2 linked regions of the Alligator mississippiensis genome follow. Each later gene encodes a partner of the first gene's protein in a complex. Links are inferred from orthologs where the notes say so. Each region holds a gene or a part of one and is shown in the gene's direction. Other genes may lie near its edges. The genes, in order: PRKG1 and CNN1.

The links.
Region 2: PRKG1 (region 1) and CNN1 share a complex: the UniProt entries of both Homo sapiens proteins name them as parts of the cGMP kinase signaling complex. The link is inferred for Alligator mississippiensis from reciprocal best matches to the Homo sapiens genes PRKG1 and CNN1.

The regions. Positions count from the first base shown.
Region 1 is NC_081829.1:65,210,558-65,219,610, reverse strand, and holds the start of PRKG1 (cGMP-dependent protein kinase 1), read left to right. Parts: upstream 1-5,594; 5' UTR 5,595-6,112; coding exon 6,113-6,423; intron 6,424-9,053. UniProt on the Homo sapiens protein: Serine/threonine protein kinase that acts as a key mediator of the nitric oxide (NO)/cGMP signaling pathway. GMP binding activates PRKG1, which phosphorylates serines and threonines on many cellular proteins.
Region 2 is NC_081831.1:22,524,136-22,532,430, forward strand, and holds the start of CNN1 (calponin-1), read left to right. Parts: upstream 1-4,987; 5' UTR 4,988-5,058; coding exon 5,059-5,121; intron 5,122-7,936; coding exon 7,937-8,058; intron 8,059-8,191; coding exon 8,192-8,258; intron 8,259-8,295. Other genes in the region: TLC domain-containing protein 4, read left to right, coding at 674-828, 966-1,055, 1,532-1,590, 1,740-1,834, 2,024-2,097, 2,328-2,613. UniProt on the Homo sapiens protein: Thin filament-associated protein that is implicated in the regulation and modulation of smooth muscle contraction. It is capable of binding to actin, calmodulin and tropomyosin. The interaction of calponin with actin inhibits the actomyosin Mg-ATPase activity.

The DNA.
Region 1 (9,053 bases):
ACAAACTTTATAACTGGATTCTCCTTTAGAGGAGAAAAACATAGGAAACCATAGCTTTTCCCTTGCAGGCTAGCAGAGTTCCAGCCTGCAAGGGCTGCTTGTCCCTCCCTCTTCCCCCCACCCTGCCCCACACGCTGGGGGTGGGGTACAGTAGTTCAGGAGTGAAGGGCACTGGGTCAGGACTGACCATTGATGTGTACAAATGGGTCTGGCTACAAGCAAGGTTGAGAACTGCTGCCTTAATGTGCTGATATAGTTTACTATGTAATGTGGGGCTTGATAACCAGTACTTACGAAGGATTCCTCAACTGGAAGAGCAAGCAACATATTGTTAAATTAATAGGTGGAGAAGGTGTGGAGAATTGGGCTTAACTTTTTTATTTATTTATTTTAATGGGGTAGTACTGTAGATATCCCAAACACAGAATTGTTACTGAGAATACAAACAAGTTAATGTAATAAGAGCAGTAATACGAGCAAGAGGAGGAAATGTAAGAAATGTATTGATTTCACAATTGCCCTGTGGTCAACTGGGGACAGTAGAAGACGTGCTAATAGGCAAATATGTTAAGTCTTATGACATATTTGGCTGTTTGTGGAAATCTTTGGATTCTTTATCTAATGGTTATATAAAATATATGTGAATTTTGTTTAAATACACACAAACAAATCCAATATATTGTAATTTTTCACTCAAAAACTGTCATTGGATCTTAGTGTTGTAATGGGGACCATTAGAATCTCTCATTTTTATCCATAATTTCAGATTATATTAAAAATCTTTTAAAGTAATGATCTCATTTATTATTATAGCTTATGAAACTGAGAAGTAATTCCTGGGGTACAGTAAACTGAAGATGCAGAGTTTTAGAATAAGTATTGTCAATTATTTGTTCTAGAGTATCATAAGTGTGCATGATGCTTCATAAAGCATACCTGTCCTGACTGTTTACCTTTTTGCTAGCATTACTGCTGGGACAATTTATGGAGTTTTTATTTTTTACAAGTATTGTATAAGTTTTCACACCTAAGACATGAATTTGAGAAAATCTAAATAGTATTGTCTTATTATTTGTTTATTTTTATTCAAAAGTTGTGCAGGGTGGCAGTTAGTCATCTGAAATACTGTCTTGTTCATCTATGCATAAATATTTAGGAACAGTCAGCATGGATTCACCAAGGGTGAGTCATGCCTGACCAACCTGATTGCCTTCTATGATGAGATGACTGGCTCTGTGGATACAGGAAGAGCAGTGGACGCGATATGCCTTGACTTTAGCAAAGATTTTGACATGGTCTCCCACATATTCCTGCAAGCAAGCTAAGGAAGTATGGGTTGGATGAATGAACTGTAAGGTGGATAGAAAACTGGCTGGATCACCAGGTTTAGAAGGTAGTACTCAATGGCTTGATGCCAGATGGCATCCAGTAATAAAGTGGAGTGTCCTGGGGCTAGTTTTATTCTACATCTTCATCAATGACCAGGAAGATGGAATAAAGTGCACCCTCAGGAAGTTTGCAGATGACACCTAGCTGGGGGGGGGGGGGGGGGGGATAGTAGATAGGTTGGAGGGTAGGGATAGGATTCAGAGACCTAGACAAATTGGAGGATCAGCCCAAAATAAATCTCACGAGGTTCAATAAGAACACGTGCAAAGTCCTGCACTTAGGACAGAAGAATCCCATGTACCATTGCAGGCTGGGGATCAATTGGCTAAGTAGCAGCTCTGCAGAAAAGGACCTCGGGGTTACAGTGGACAATAAGCTGAATATGAGCCAACAGCATGCCTTTGTTGCACAGAAAGCAAGTGGCATACTGAGCTGCATTAGTAGGAAAATTGCCAACATATTGAGGAAAGTGATTTTCCCCCTTTATTTGGCACCAGTGAGACCAAATCTGGAGTACTGTGTCCAGTTTCGGGTCCACCACTGCAGGAAGGATGTGGACATATTGAAGAGAGTCAAGCAGAGGACAATGAAAATGCTTAGGGGGATGGGGCACATGACTTCTGAGGAAAGTCTGAGGGAGCTGGGCTTATTTAGTCTGGAGAAGAGGAGACGGAGAGGATTTAATAGCAGTCTTGAGCTACCTGAAGAGTGGTCCCAAAAAGGATGGAGCTGGACTGTTTTCAGTGGTGGCAGATGACACAATAAGGAACAATGGTCTCAAGTTGCAGTAAGGGAAGTTTAGGTTAGATATTAGGAAAAACTCTCTCACTAGGAAGGTAGTAAGACACTGGAATAGGTTACCTAGAGAGGTGTTGGAATCTCTGTAGTTGGAGGTTTTTAAGGCTCGGCTAGACATGGCTGGGATGAGCTAGTTGGGGCTGGTCCTGCTTTGAGCAGTGGGTTGGACTACATGCCTCCTGAGGTCCTTTCCAATCCTAATTTTTATGATTCTGTGTGTGGTACAGATACGGGGGGGTGATTGATTAACCCCTGGATCCGAGCAGGCCGGGGATGAAAGGGTTTGGAATCTTGTTTCCCTTTTTCTTTACTCTTCCCGCCCAAGAAGAATCCGAAGGCAAAATAACAAATGAATACTTTACTCACACTACTGAAGTACACGGACTCGCGCTGTTGATGTACAGAGTGTAGGCACCTTCAGTAAGAGTTACACCGTGGAGCACATAAATGCTCTGTTCACAATTCCGCGCCGGCAGTTCCCTTTTACAATAACTTCCAAAAACAAAACAAACTGTAGGGAACCCGAGAGCTCTTCTCGCATCCAAAAGATGCAATTAACCAATATGGGGGCGTCCGGGGGGGGAAAGGAGCCGTGGACGCAGGACCTCGGTGAGGGTGATCAAGCCTCTCAGATATTGTGTAGGTCCCGCCTTCTTTTTCGCGGGGTCTGCCTTTTATACTGCCCCAATAGCCAATGGAATCAGGTCTTTTTTCGCGCGCTCAACGGGCTGCATAAGCCGGGGATTTTGCTGCATGCACCAATCGCGCTGCTATTAGGCTGCACCCCGCTGCTTTCCCTACGCCGCGAGCATAACTTGCTCTCATGTCCGGCGTTTGGTCACCTTTTCTTTATCACACCGTGTTTCTGTGAAAACCACACAATGAAAAATTAAGTGTGTTTATTGAAAGAAGGGAACAGATACTACATTTGTTTTAACATTGGATTCTATACTGTATGCTTCAAGATTGCATCTGCCTTACTCATCTTTAAAGCAGGAATGTTGAGAGAGTAAATCGGGCCGACTGTGTTTAAGTGGGGGAAATAGATGGAGAAAGAGGTTCTGAAGTTAAAGCACTTAAAATGTCCATGTTTTGAAAAGATCAGCAAAATTATGGTAGTGTTAGAATGATTTTGTCACTGTGATGGCCCAGGAATTAAGAAATAAGTTAGTATTTCTGAGGGTGATACCTTTTATTGGACCGGCCTCAGAACTGGGATAATTAGACAAGCTTTAAAATGCAAGACATTCTTTGTCAACCAGATTTGAGAATGTCTTTCTCTAAAAAGCTTATCTGACTCTACCCCAACTATGCAGTTGGTCCAGTAAAAGATATCACCCTAAGAAATCCTTGTCTCTAGTAATATTATGTCTCTTATGCCTAACACACATGTGGCAAGACTTTCAACTGTGGCATTTTAAACTGAAATGCATTTAAAAAATGTGTAACTGTTTTTAATGTGCTTTGAAGAAATATATCAAGTACATCCTAGAAGATGGGTCAGAAAATATTAATGATCCAAATCCTTTTAAACATAGTATTCAATAAGGAATTTGTCATGTTTTTTCAGTTATTCATTTCCATCAATATTATAAAGAACTTCATTTGTAGGTGGAAAGCTGAGGCTCTGAAGTGAGTCAAATATCGGTATTTAGGAGTAGAATAATATATAAGTTGAATCTAACTGAGCCTTGTCCATTTTCACCCAAAAGCACTAAACTGTACTATAAAAGCAGAGAACAAAATTAGACACTCCACTCCATAAAAAAAACCCTTTTGAATCCTGATTCAGACCAGTGCATGAGTTCTGCAAAAATCCATTTCTTATATCCTGCCCCTGTCAGCTTTAGCTTCTCATTTCTTGGGTTCTTAATGCCTGAAAGAAGAGCAGAAACAGGCATTCCTAATGCACTGAAAACATGTTAACTTCAGCTATCCATGAACACAGCAAAACCCCATATCTAGCACCTGGACGCAGCTGGACTATAGCAGTATTTATCCCACCCCCCAAAGCTATATAATCCAAACAGAAAACAAGTATAACCACTCCTGTTTCACACAGCCAGCACTTAAGTTCTGCTGCATTTTGCTGTTTTATGGTGCCAAACCACTAATTGTACAGTCAAAACACTTTCCCTTCTACAACAGAAAAACCTGTGCTTTGACACATCCTGTGCAAGCCATAAGAAAAACACTTATTTGGCACCTGGATGTTGCTGGACCAGGCCCCTTCTATTGCCTAAGTGTAGAAATCAAATGTTAGTGCTTCGTCCTAGCACATGCATGTTTGATAAATCATGCTTGATAAATCCAAATGTGCACCTGGATGGAGCAGTTTAAGCCAGCGTACCAGTGTACCAGTATAGGGATTTTTCTCTGGAAGTAGTTGCATGTGTTTTGTTATTTAGATTACAGTATGGGGGAGGGGAGGAAGGCAAAGGGGAAAAGGGACCAACACTTGCCAGGAGTAAGTAGGATTCCTCTTCCAGACAGGATTTTTTATTTTTACGGGACAACTGAAATTGTATGATGGCTCTTGAAAATTGGTAAAACCAAGGAATTGTAAGTGGTGTTCAGCCAGGATTTGGTTGGGTTTGCACTGTTCGGTGAAGTAGAAAGATACTCATTCTCTACCGAGCTAGTGAAATAGGAAAGATAGGAACTAAGTAAATCTGGATCTGCAGGATTTTGGTACAGATGCCATTTTGATGCCTTTGTTGTCGGATGTATCTAATTGAGATACTTGGGGCTTGCACCCTGGGAGCAGCTAGCCATGTTCTTTCTTCAAGCAGTGTTTATTTGGGTGATTACTGTCAGAACTGGTCCAGTTCAGTAGCATTAAGATGACATCTGGTTTGGAAGCACCCTGTAACCAGGATGTGTGACATGCCTGCTTTTTGGCTTTAGGGGTGGGACTGTGCCTGTGGGGTCCAGTGCTATGTTCCAGACCAGAGTTTCACTGTGCCTGGGGCAGGGGCTGCCAGGCTTTCCTTTGGTGGGGCAGGAGGTCCTCCCTGCTCCCCACACACCGGGTAGAGTTGGAGGAAGCTGGGCTTGCCCTGTTGAGCTTCCCACCACAGGAGCAAAGCTTGTGCTTGTGTATGTCTGCACCCTAGGGCTTCAGCTCCCCCCAGATCACTGGAACTCGAAGGCTTTGCTCCCTAGCAGTGCTTGTTGCCTGGTTTTCCTGACGGAGACTTAAGGAGTAAACAGACAGGAGTGCAAAGCCGGCCGGGGATGCCCAGGCAAAGCGGGGGCGTGTGAAGAGGACCGTGGGGGCAGCGGAGATCGTGGTTCGTGGCCGGTTTCCAGGGGCAAGGCAGGCACATGTGAAATGCTGCGCCTCGCCTGAAAGCCCGAGCTGTGAGCGGCAGGGTCTGCCCCTCCGCCGCGGGCTGGAGCTCGGCTCGGCTCGGCTGCGCTGGCCCCGGAGCGGCCCCCCCGGTGCCAGAGGCAGAGGGAAAGTGCATGTGCTACGGCATCCTGCAGACGCCCCTTTCCTCCGTGCCCCCTCCCCCTCGGTGAGTGTGTGCCTCTCTCCAGTCTTAGCCTGACGCAGGCAGATCGAAATCACCTTTCACGCCCCAGCCTTCAGCGGAGTGGCGCCGCTGGGTTTCCCTTTCGGATTATGCCTCTAATCCTCCTCCCATAACCGAGCGCGGAGCGCGGCCAAGTCACCCCGGCGCGGCGCGGCGCGGCGCGGCTCTGCTCGGCGCGGCGCGGCGTGGCGCGGCTCGGCGCAGGCTGCCGGCTGGGGGCTGGGGGCGTGCTTCAGGGGCGAGCGGCATTTGCCGGCGGCAGGTCGATCCGGAGCGATCGGCAAAGTTGGCCGAAGTGGGAGGCAGCGGCCACTTGGGGGAAAGTTGCCGGGAGCGCAGCGGACGAGCCAGGCTCCGAGGCAGGAGCCGGCGGGCCGAGGAGGAGCATGGGCACTTTGCGGGATTTACAGTACGCGCTGCAGGAGAAGATCGAGGAGCTGAGGCAGCGGGATGCTCTCATCGACGAGCTGGAGCTGGAGTTGGATCAGAAGGACGAGCTGATCCAGAAGCTGCAGAACGAGCTGGACAAGTACCGCTCCGTGATCCGGCCCGCCACGCAGCAGGCGCAGCAGCAGGGCTCCGGCACCTTGCAGGGCGAGCAGCGGACCAAGCGGCAGGCGATCTCCGCCGAGCCCACCGCCTTTGACATCCAGGACCTCAGCCATGTCACCCTTCCCTTCTACCCCAAGAGCCCACAGTAAGCAGGGGTTAAGCGTTGTGTGCATCTGGCATCCTGTCTTTGGTCCTTCAGTGGTCTGTATTGTCTGTCCATCCACTTGTCCAGGCGAGTCCCTGCACCTCCCGCTTGCCGTGTCTGTTCTCCTGCCCGCGGCTGAGCCCGCGGGTAACGCTGCGGGCCGCTCCGGGGGCTGCCCTGTCTGTCTCGTGCCCTGTGTGTTTCCGCATTGCTGCTGCCTCCTGCGCCTCTCGCCTTTCCTCCCGCTCCTCGTCCCGGCGCGGCGGGGCCGTGCTGTGCGCTCCCGCGGGGCCGCGGCTCGGGGTCCCCCCGGGGTCGCGGGGCAGGGCAGGGGGAGCCGGGCTAGAGCTGCTGCTCCCTGCCCGCTTGCACACACCGTCCTCCGGGCCTCACAGCTCAGCCTCGAGCCTGCGGGAAGAGCCCGGCGCGCTTTGAAACAATGGGCGAGCGGAGCCCCGCGGTGCCCTGCTCCGGGAGCGCGGCTGCAGCTTGTTTCCTCGCCGGCTGCTCCGTCTCCCACCCGCCATCCCTTGTGTGCGTAGCTGAGCGCTGTCATCTGGCAGCTGACACCTTGCGGCCGCCCTCCTGCGTCCCCGGGCGGAAAAAACATCTTCTCTTTGGCGCCTCGGGCGGCCTCAGCCTTGTGCCCTTCCCGGCCGGGGTGAGGAGCCGCTCCCGGGGGAGGGAAAGCCGGCGGCCGGGCGGGGGCGTCCAGCCAGCAGAGCCCGCGGCTCCTGCCCCGGCTCCACACCGCCTCAGGGAAATCGCTTGGGTTTTTTGGGCGAACACCTGTTGAGGGACGAGGCCTTCTCTACTCCCCAAGTTTGGAGAGAGGGTGGGGAAGGCAGACAACGGCCAGGTGTGCGGACAGTTTATAGCCCTGGAGCCCGTCATTAGGTCTTATGGAGGGCTCTGGAGTAATAGGCATCAGGCGATTGATTGTAGTAGGAAGGAGAATGAGGAGGCAAGAGTGGGGTGAGCAAGGATCAGTCTACACAAGATAGAGCTTGTCTTCAGACTCCCTCCAAGTCCTGCTGGAAGTGATCCACAGCTTGGCAGGCAGGGGGATGTGGAGTGACTGGGGAGGTAGAGCTGAGGAGCCCCGGGCAGCTGTGGGGATTTCCTTCTTGGCTGAAGTTCGGTTCAACTAGGGACCAGCCCAGAGGGAAGATCTCGAGGCTGGAAACCTGTGCGGTGTTTTCATCGCATTCACGGTCTAAGCAACACCCTTTCTCCCACAGTTGTTGTGTCCTCTCCACCCTGCTGGTTGGGAGCTTTTCAGGGGGGAAAAGCCCTGCACGGCTATCTTTCTGCAACTATATGTTGCTTGTCCCCAGAAGAAAGGGTGAAGGGAAAGTTTGTAAGAAATCTCTTTTTTAAAGCTTTTAAATAAGTCTGTCCTGGTTTTACACTTCCCATCAAAGACTATGCAAACTGATATGGTTTTCTCCATTAAAACACAAGGAATATCACATCCCCCACACTACTTAATTATCTCTATAGCTACCCAATAAACCTTGATGTATTTGGTTCAATCATCATGAAAAAGCTTGTATACTTTTTAATTCACTTCTTACATCAAAACACATCAGGAGCAGCTTCATTTCTTATCAGCATGATGATCTCAGAACCAGTCAGGTTGAAAATAAATGCATTTTGTGTTGAGTGTAAGTGTTTTACAGCTGAACACTCAGAATTAGGATATTCTTCATACCGTAAGGTAAGAAGTGGTGTGGATGAGCAAAATCTCCTAGCTGAAGTGCCATTTGCTAGCAATAAACATAATTGTATATCCTTTTTCTATTAGATTCAGATCAGTGCCTGCCTAATGTTCTTTTTAATTATTTTGTGTGCCCAAACACATTTGTCTCATCTAGAGTCGTCAAATTTGTCTCATTAAGAGTTAAGGCTTGGGATCCCTTGCTTGGGAGATGGCTTTTTGCTGCTCGAACTAGTCATACATAGGCTGGAAGGCGAGAAGGGACCTCATTAAGTCAAATCTGATGTTTATGGCTGACATTTTCCTAGCGGTATTAGCGACTGGCGGAAGGAGGGGAGGGATTTCTTTTTCATAACTTGGTTTGTTGTTAAGCCGCTTCTTGTAGTAGCTCTTTTTCCATGCAGGCATGTGAAACAGGGCAGTCCTTGTAGCTTGTCATGACACGTGGTCAGGGCCTTCCTTTTGGTTTGCGTGGGCTTTTCTCTTGAAAAGCTTTTGAAGACTGACTTACCCCCATGAAAAAGAACAGTTTGCAGAGCAATCAAATGAAAATACAAGTTCCTTTCTTACTGCAGCCGGATGGAGGGACTGGGAGCTGCAGAACTGATCTGGAAATGTGCAAGGGAGCTGTGGACTCACAGAATTGATCCTTCTTGGAAAGTAGTGCCCTGGAGTAGCATTTAACAGGAAATGAAAGGAGCTTAAATGAGAAATCGGGTCATTGATTATTTACCGTCCCCTGTTGCAGTTCAATGTCACCCACCTTCCTATAGACCCCCTGGTTTGTGATGCCTTAGCATCAGCCCTGTTTTAAATCTATGAAACCCACACATGCATTTCATATTAGTTTTAAATATGTTAATTCCAAGGCTTTCGGCAGCTTGTGAAATCATGTCAAGTTTAGTACCCC
Region 2 (8,295 bases), on another chromosome or scaffold:
GTCCGCCGCCGTGTGTGGCAATAGCCCGCCTGGGGCAAGTCACGTCACCGGGTGGGACCCAGGCGTCCGGGCTCCCAACCCCCCCCCGCCCCGCCCCGCAGCCGTGGCCTTTGCTCCCGGGGGATTATCTCCGCTCAACCCCGCACACGTGGCCGGACAAGGGTCGCCGGGTCTCGGTGACAGCGATGCAGGGCTGGGAGGACCCTGGGTCCTCTGGGCGGCTGGGAGCACGTGGGGGTCTGGGAGCCCGGACTCCTGGGTTCTGCCCCGAGCTGGGAGAAAGGGGTAGAGGGCGGGGTGGGGCTGAGGCCGAGGGCTTCTGGGTCCTTTCCCCAAGCCGAGGAGGGGGCTGAGGTCCGGGGGAGGGAGGGGGCAGCACCGGGCTGGGCGCCAGTTGGGCCCTGGTCCCAGGAGGTCCCCGCCCCCCACCCGGGCAAGGCTGGCATCTCCGCGGCGCTGCCGCTGCCCTGGGGACACCGCGGCTCCGGCTGCCCGGGAGAGCGAGAGCCAGGGACCGTCGGGGGTGGGGGCGGCTACGGGTCCGGAGTGAGGGGCATCAACAGCTCTAAAGAGGGTGCTGCAGGTTGGGAGTGAGGGGTCCCGCGGGGCTGCGAGTCAGGAGTGAGGGGCCCCGCCGGTCGGCGCTGACGCGGGCCCCCACAGGCCCCCCGCCATGGAGGACTCCACTCGTTTCGGCTACTGCGTGGTGGCCGCCAGCTTCGTGGGCTTCCAGTTCTGCTTCTCGGCCGTGAGCCCCCGGCTGTCGCTGGCGCTCTGCCCCCCGTACTGCGCGCTGCCCCCCGCCCGCCGCATCGAGTGGGACTCCAGGTACCGCCCCTCCCCCGGCCAGGATCGGGCCCCCGGAGCCAGTAGAGAACCCAGGTGTCCGGGCTCCCTGGGCCCGAACGTCAAGGGATGTCGCGGGGGTGACCTGTCTGTCCGTGACATCCCCGCGCTGCCCCCAGGTGCGTGTCCACTCTCCACGCGCTGCTGGTCGGGAGCTTCTGCCTCTACATCCTCTGGTACGACGCGGCCGTGAACGCGGATCCTATATGGTGAGACCCCCCCCCCCGCCCCCCAGTGCCCCTCATTCCCGCCTCGCAGACCCCCCCAGCCCTGGTAATGCCCCTCACTCCCGGTCTGCAGCCCCCTGCCCCCCCCCAGCCTTGCCAGTGCCCCTCACTCCCGACCCGCAGCCCCTCGCTCTGTAACCGCAGCCAAGTCCCCGAGCCGGGCAGCTTTCCCAGGCCCTCTCTGCCAGCCGTGGCAAGAAGGTGGGGAGCGTGGGAGGAGGTGCCAGGCCTGGGCGGGGGGCGGGCGTCACATGGCACCGCGGGCATGAAGAGCCGTTTTGTGCTGGGAAAGAAAGAGCTCCTTGTTCCCGCGGCCGGAGTTGACCGGGGGGGAGGACGGAAGGGGGGGGGGGGCAGGGGCCTGGCATTGAGGGGGAAGCTGGGACTCCAGGGGGTGTACTGTCGGTCCCTGCGAGCTGCCGTCCATGAGCTCACCCCCCCCCATCCTGTGCCCGCAGGGGCGACCCCCGCCTAGTGAAGCTGAACGTGGCCATCATCAGCGGCTACTTGCTCTATGGTACGTGCCCCCCCCCCCACCCCTTGGAGCTGAGGGGTCCCCCCCTCTGAAGCAGGTCTGAGCCCCCCCTCCGGACCCCAGAGCAGCCGGGGGTGTTTGCAAGGGCTAGACCCAGGGGGGTGACCCCTCCTTCTCACTCCCGCCCCTAGACCTGCTGCTTCTCGGCCGCTACTGGAAGACGATGGGAGACGCGCTCTTCGTGTGTCACCACGTGGCGGCGCTGTACGCCTACGGCTACGTGCTGGTCAGTGTGGGGGGGAAGGGCTGCGGGTCAGGAGTGAGTGTCACCGGCTGGGGCAGAGGGAAGGGAGCAGCGGGCTGCTGGTCGGGAGTGAGAGGCACGTTTCAGCCCGTGGGGGGCTGTGGGTTGGGAGCGAGAGGTACCGGGTCCTGGAGGGGCTGGGCAGGGGCTGACGGTGTCCTTCACCTCCAGAACCGCGGGGTGTTACCGTATTTCGCCAATTTCCGCCTCCTCTCCGAGCTTTCGACCCCCTTCGTAAACCTGCGGTGAGTTTGGGGGCATCTGGCCTGGCCCGTCCTACAGCCCCCTCCCCAGCTCTGCTGCCCCTGGGCGGACCTCGCTCCAGTCTGGGGGAGTCACTTCTCTCCCCCAGCACCAGGCGCAGGCTCTCAGCAAATTCAGACAGCGAAACCCCGCCCCCTTTCTCCTCAGCCAATCCCCTGGCGCGGAGGAGGGGGCGGGTCTTCTTAAAGTGACAGAGCCCCCGTTGTGGCAGGTGGTTCCTGGAGGCGGCAGGGTGGCCGCGGGGTTCGGGGCCGGTGCGGGCCAACGGGGTGGCCATGGCCGTGGCCTTCTTCTCTGTGCGCATCGCAGTCATCCCCACCTACTACGCCCGCGTGCTGGCCTGGCACGGCACGCCCGAGTACGCCCGCCTGGGCCCGGCCGTGCAGGCCGCCTGGATCGGTCCCAGCCTGGCCCTGGAGGTCCTCAACCTGGTCTGGATGTACCGCATCCTGCGGGGCGTCTACCGCGCCTGCCACGCGCCCCGCAAGCAGCTCTGACCGGGGACCCTCGCGCCACCCTTCCCCCCCCCACCCCCCGCAATGACCCGGACCAGCATCCGCGGAGCCTGGGGGCGTCTAAACTGGAATTGCCCCTGGGAGCACCTGAGTTGAGTTGGAATTACCCCTAGTGGGGGGCATCTGGCTAAAACTGTCCCCCCCCCCGGGAAATCTGGATTGGAATTACCCCCCTGAGGGCATCTGGGCTGGAATTACCCCTCTAGGAGCATGAACTGCTCCCCCCAGGAAACTCTGAATTGGAATTACTCCTCAGGGGTATCGGGGCTGGAAGTGCTCCCCCCCTGGGCCTTCTAGGCTGGATTTACCCTCCCAGGCATCTGGGCTGGGATTACCTCCCCAGGGGGCAACTAAATTGGAATTGACCCCCAGGGGCATCTCGGCCCGTGTGGCCCTCCCTCGATCCCTTCCAGCTGCGGGAGCCGTGCAGAAAAAGTAGCTCGGGGGAGCCTACCACCGCCCCCGTCGTGCCACTGCACCAGCCTCGTGCCCCTCTGCCAGGCTGCGTGCCTCAATTTCCCCGCCTACAGGGTAGCAGCCCTGGCTTTCATCAGTGCCTTCCCTGGGACCTCCTCTGCTCCGGGGCCGGGAGTATCGATCCTGGCGGGAGGGGCCCCGATCCTGGCTGGGTCCTTGAATTGGTCAGGTCTCTCCCTGCCTCAGTTTCCCCCCCCCCCGGGGGATGTGCACCCCACGCCCCAGGCCTCGATCCTGCGTGGACCATGTCTCACTCCCCCCCCTCCCCCCACGATGGTGCAGGGGGCGGGGCGGGGCCGACCCCGGGGGTCCCCGGCATATGCGGGCGATGACGTCACCACTGATCGCCAAGGGGGCTATACATGGCCATGGTGCACGGCGTAGGGAGCCCCCCTACGTCACCGTCGCGTCATCAGGGAGGAAGGGAGAGGCTGGGCTGTGATCTCACTTTAGGGGTGTTCCCCCCTCATGAATAAATCACCAGATGCTAATAAGCCGTGCACGCCCCCTGGCGGCAGGGGACGGAACTGGGGGCGTGGCTTGTTGTGTGATGGGCGTGGTTTGGTTGAGGAGGGGCGTGTCCTGAGCACGCCGCGAGTGGGCCATACGGCGCTGTATGGACCTGGCACCGCAAAGCCCCCCGGGTTGGCCCGGCCCGGCCCGCGGGCTCCATTCCCGTTTCCCTCCACCCCCAGATTTATGGCGTGCCAGGGCCAGGAGGGAGCCGGACTTATAAGGCAACAGAGCCCAAGGCTGGGGGCGGAGCTTGGCTAGGACGCCTGGGCTCTCCAGAGACGGGGATCTAGTGGTTACAGTTCTGGGGAGGGGGCCTGGGGCCTCTCCACAGCTCCAAATAGGAGGTGGGGGCTGGAAGCCTGAACACCTGGGTTCCAACTAGCTCTGGGAGTGGGGGTGGAATGCATGGGACTAGAGCAGGGGGTCTTGGGAGCCGGGATGCCTGGCTTCTATCATCAGCTGTTGGGGGGTAGTGGGGAGGCCTGCGATCAAAGCCGGAGGACCTGGGGGTCAGGACTCCTGGGTTCTGGCTCTGGGGGTCTGGCTCCCAGCCCCAGGCTCTACTACTGTAGAGAGGGGAGAGCTGAGATTGGGGGGGTGCTGCTGAACAGCTCCCCCCAACCTGGCATGAGACAAGTTTGCTGGGTCTCCAGCCCCTTCATGCAGCATGCCCCCCAATTCCTGGCCCCTGGCTCACTTCTGTCCTGGCCCCATCCTCTCCTGGACTCTTCTTGGGGGAGTGGGGAACACAAGCACATCCCACTCTTCCTATCGGGGCTGATTCAGCGCAGTCCAGTGCAATGAAGGGGTATGGGCTTATGTCGGCCGAGGGGGGAGGGCCTTGCTCCTAACCCCCCTTGCCTCTCCACAAGGCCCCTACTCCATGGGGAAACTGAGGCAGGGGGCAGTGACCCCCCCCACCCCCCCACAGCCTGAGTGAGGGCATGGTGAGTGGGTGGGAGAACCCAGGTGCCCTACAGCCCAGGTGGCTACTTGATAAGTATGGGGGGCTGGGAAAGAGAGGACCCCAGGGTAGCCCCCCGGGGGCTGGAGAAGACAGGAGTTGAGGAAGCTGGGAGGGAGGAAGAGAGAAGAGGAGGAGCAAGAGGGGAGCATGGGAGGGAGGAGAAGGGAAAGCGAGGGAGAGGAACAGACAGCAGGGGAGAGAGCAGGGATGGCGGGAGCAGGAGGGGGGCTGGGGGGCAAGGGAGCACCTTGCCCCCCCTCTGCCCGCCCAGGCCTGCCCCCCCACCTTGGAAAAAGTGACACCATCCTGCTAATACCAGGGGGCTGAGATCAGCTGGGGGGGAGCCCCGCCCCCAGCTTGCGGGGAGGGGAGCGGGGGTTGGGTGGGGGTGGCCGGGCCCAGCCGGGGTCTTAAGGGCTGGGGCAGCAGACGAGCAGCAGCTGGGCAGAGCAGGTCCAGACAGCAGCATGTCCAGCGCCCACTTCGTCCGTGGCCCAGCCTATGGGCTCTCCGCCGAAGTCAAGAGCAAGGTAGGGCCCCAGGACTGGCCTGGGGTGCTGCTTCCCCCAGCAGGGCCCTGGGGGGGCACATGGGGCCTGGGAGATGATACTGGGGTACATGGGGCAGTGGGGGGGGGGCAGGCTGGGGTGGTGGCAGGTCCCAGCTCAGACTGGTCCCAGGGCCTGAGGATTGGGCCTGTTCACTCTTAAAGCACCACAGTGCAGTTTGGGGGCACCGCCAGGATGGACATGGGGCAGACCCCCCTGGGGTCCCCTGGCTGAGGGGTTTGGGGGCAGCTTGGCACCCCTGAGAGGATTCATCCCCTCCCCCTCTATGGGACTAACCCACAGTGGAGGCATCTCACCCCATTTACCCCAGGTGGGGCAGGGCCTTGCTGCAGCTGAGTCTGGGGAAATGGCAGGTCAGGATGCCTGGGTCTGTCTCAGTGGTGACTGGCCCCTCCCTACCCCTTGCCTCAGTGTCCCCATTGGTGATAATGTGGGGCAAATCAGAAGTCAGGGGTCAGAGGTCAGGGCCTGTGTTATCCATTCACTCTTTCTCCCCCCCCCCGGCACACCAGGACAGAATGCAGCCACCTCTGGGGTGGGCGCAGCCAGCAGTGGAGTGGTGGGAGTGGGATAGTGAGGACTGGCTGGAGCTGACCAAGTGCTGACAGACAGATGGACTGAGCCTCCCCCCCACAATGGGCCCTCAGTGCCCCCCAGCCCATCCCCACCCCTGGCGGGATGCTACCATCCTGCCCATGTGGTGGGTCCAGCGAGGGTTTAACACACACACACACGTGTGCACACACATGTACACTCGCAGCCCTCACACCAGCCATGCCCAGTGCTTTGCCAGTGACCCCCTCACCCCCCTGACCCCTGCTCCCCCCAGCTCTGGCTGCCTGGCTCCCCCTCCCCCAGTCCCCCCCAGTCCCCCCAGTGCCCCCCCCATCCAGATTCCTGCTGGAGCTGCTGCCCATATAAGGCCGGCTTTGGGGAATCTCTGTGGCGCAGGGAGATGCTATATAAGGCCTGGAGCCACATTCAGACCCTGGCGCAGGACACCCCCGCCCCTAGCGCCCCTGCCAGCTGGCCAGGGCCCTGCTCTGACCCCCCCCCAGGAAACTGAGGGACCCCCTAGTGGGGGTACAGTGACTCCCCCTAACCTCCCCCAGCCAGATGTGGGCAGGTGTTTGTTCTCAGTGGGAGGGTTGAGAGCAGTGGGGGCTGAGAGCTTGGACGCCTGGGATCTTGATTCTGGGAGGAGGTGGGGACTGGGGTGTTAGAGCAGGGGGGTGTCCCTGGAAGCTTAATACCTAGGTTCTCCCCAGCTCTGGGAAGGGAGTGGGGGCCTGGCAGGTGAAAGCAGGTGAGGCTGGGAGCCTGGACACCTGGGTTCTCTCCCAGCTCTAGGTGGACAGTGGAGCGCAAGGGTTAGAGCAGGGTGTGGGAAGCCTGGATGTCTGGGATCTGTATGTGCTCTGGGGAAGTGGCAGCCCAGGCCTTCGCTGTGCCAAGGCCCCGTGGATGTAACCGGGGAAACCAAGGCCTAAAGAGATCAGCCCGCTTCCCACCCCGCCATCAAGGAAGCAGCACTGTGCGCTGGGATGGAACCCAGGCATCCGGAGTCCCCATGAGAGCTCCCCTCCCAGAGCAGGGAGAGAACCCAGCTGTCTGGGCTCCCAACCCCACCTGCTCTTACCTCCCCCCCATCCTACTACCCTCCCAAAGCAGGGAATGAACCCCCCCACCCCCACCCCATCAGCCCCAGCAATGATTCACCCATTCCCCAGCACTGCTGGGGGGGGGGGGGACACCCAGTTTGGAGGGGGGCAGGACAGGCAACCGCATGGGCAAGGTGGGGCTGCCTGGGGTGGAGAGGCTTTGCAGGGGAGCAGAGCTAGGGGTAGGGGGTACCAAACAGCAGGGTCTATCACCCCCTCCCCCCCAGTTCCTATGACTCCCTCCCCCGCCCCTTGCACCTAGGGCCAAGTCTCCAGCCCCATTTTTCTCCCTAGTTTGGTGAATTCCTCCCACCCAGCGCCTGCTGCTTGCTTTGGCAGGCAGCCCTGGCACCAAGCACCAGGAGGGGGAGAGGAAAGGGGCGAGGCTGGCCTACCCAGCTCCGCTTCTGTACCTCAGTTTCCCCACCTGGTGCCAGACCCAGGGGGCTTTGGGCACAGAGCAACAGGAATCCCCAGGAGTGTCTACGGGATGCCAGGGCTGTAGCCGAGGTGGGGAGAGGGGAATGAGAACCAAGGCATCCTTGAGCTGCACCCCCAACCCAGCAATGCTTCTCTCAGGGTGGGAGGTGACATGAGCAGCACTGGTCTCAGCTGGGATCAGGCAAGGCCCCAGCGCAGTGCTAGCAGCTTGTTAGTGAGGAAACATTCCCCTAAGCCCTACAGACAGTGGACCAGGTCCGGTTTCAAGCCTGGGCAGGCAGGCAGCTGGGAACAGGTGCAGTGGAGGCCTGACCTCTACAGGGCAGAAGGGGATGGGAACCCAGATGTTCAGGTCCATCTTGGACACCCCCACCTTTCAAACAGCCTCAGACCTTGTCCTAGCCTGGAGCTGGCTACATCTCAGCCATGCCAAGGATCATCCTGGCACCAGGCATGGGAGCCTTACCCCCTGATGCCCCGTAGGCACTGCGGGCTCATAAACCAGTCAGCCCTAGGCTGTCACTTTTGGGGGAGGGTGAAGAATCCCATGGGGGGGCATATGGAGTCTAGTGTCCCCCACAGGCACAACAGCCCAGGCTGGCAGGGTGCAAAGGGGTTCACTCTCAGTGCAATGGGGGGCCAGGCTGACCTCTGACCCCTGTCCCTCCCACCAGTTGGCCCAGAAGTATGACCCCTTGAGGGAGCAGGAGCTACGGGCCTGGATTGAGGCAATGACGGGCCGGCGCATCGGGGACAACTTCATGGAGGGGCTGAAGGACGGTGTCATCCTGTGCGAGTGAGAGCTGGGGGGGTGGTGCTTGGGGAGGGGGGAGGGGCACCACTGGGAGGCACCATTCCCCAGCTGTGCTATAGTGACTGCCTGCGCCCTCCTCGGAAGCAGTCACATTTCAGCCTCCACCTGTCCACAGACTCATCAACAAGCTACAGCCGGGCTCTGTACGCAAGGTGAATGAGTCCACACAGAACTGGCACAAGGTAAGTGGGCAATGCCATGGGGGGGAGGGACAAGGGG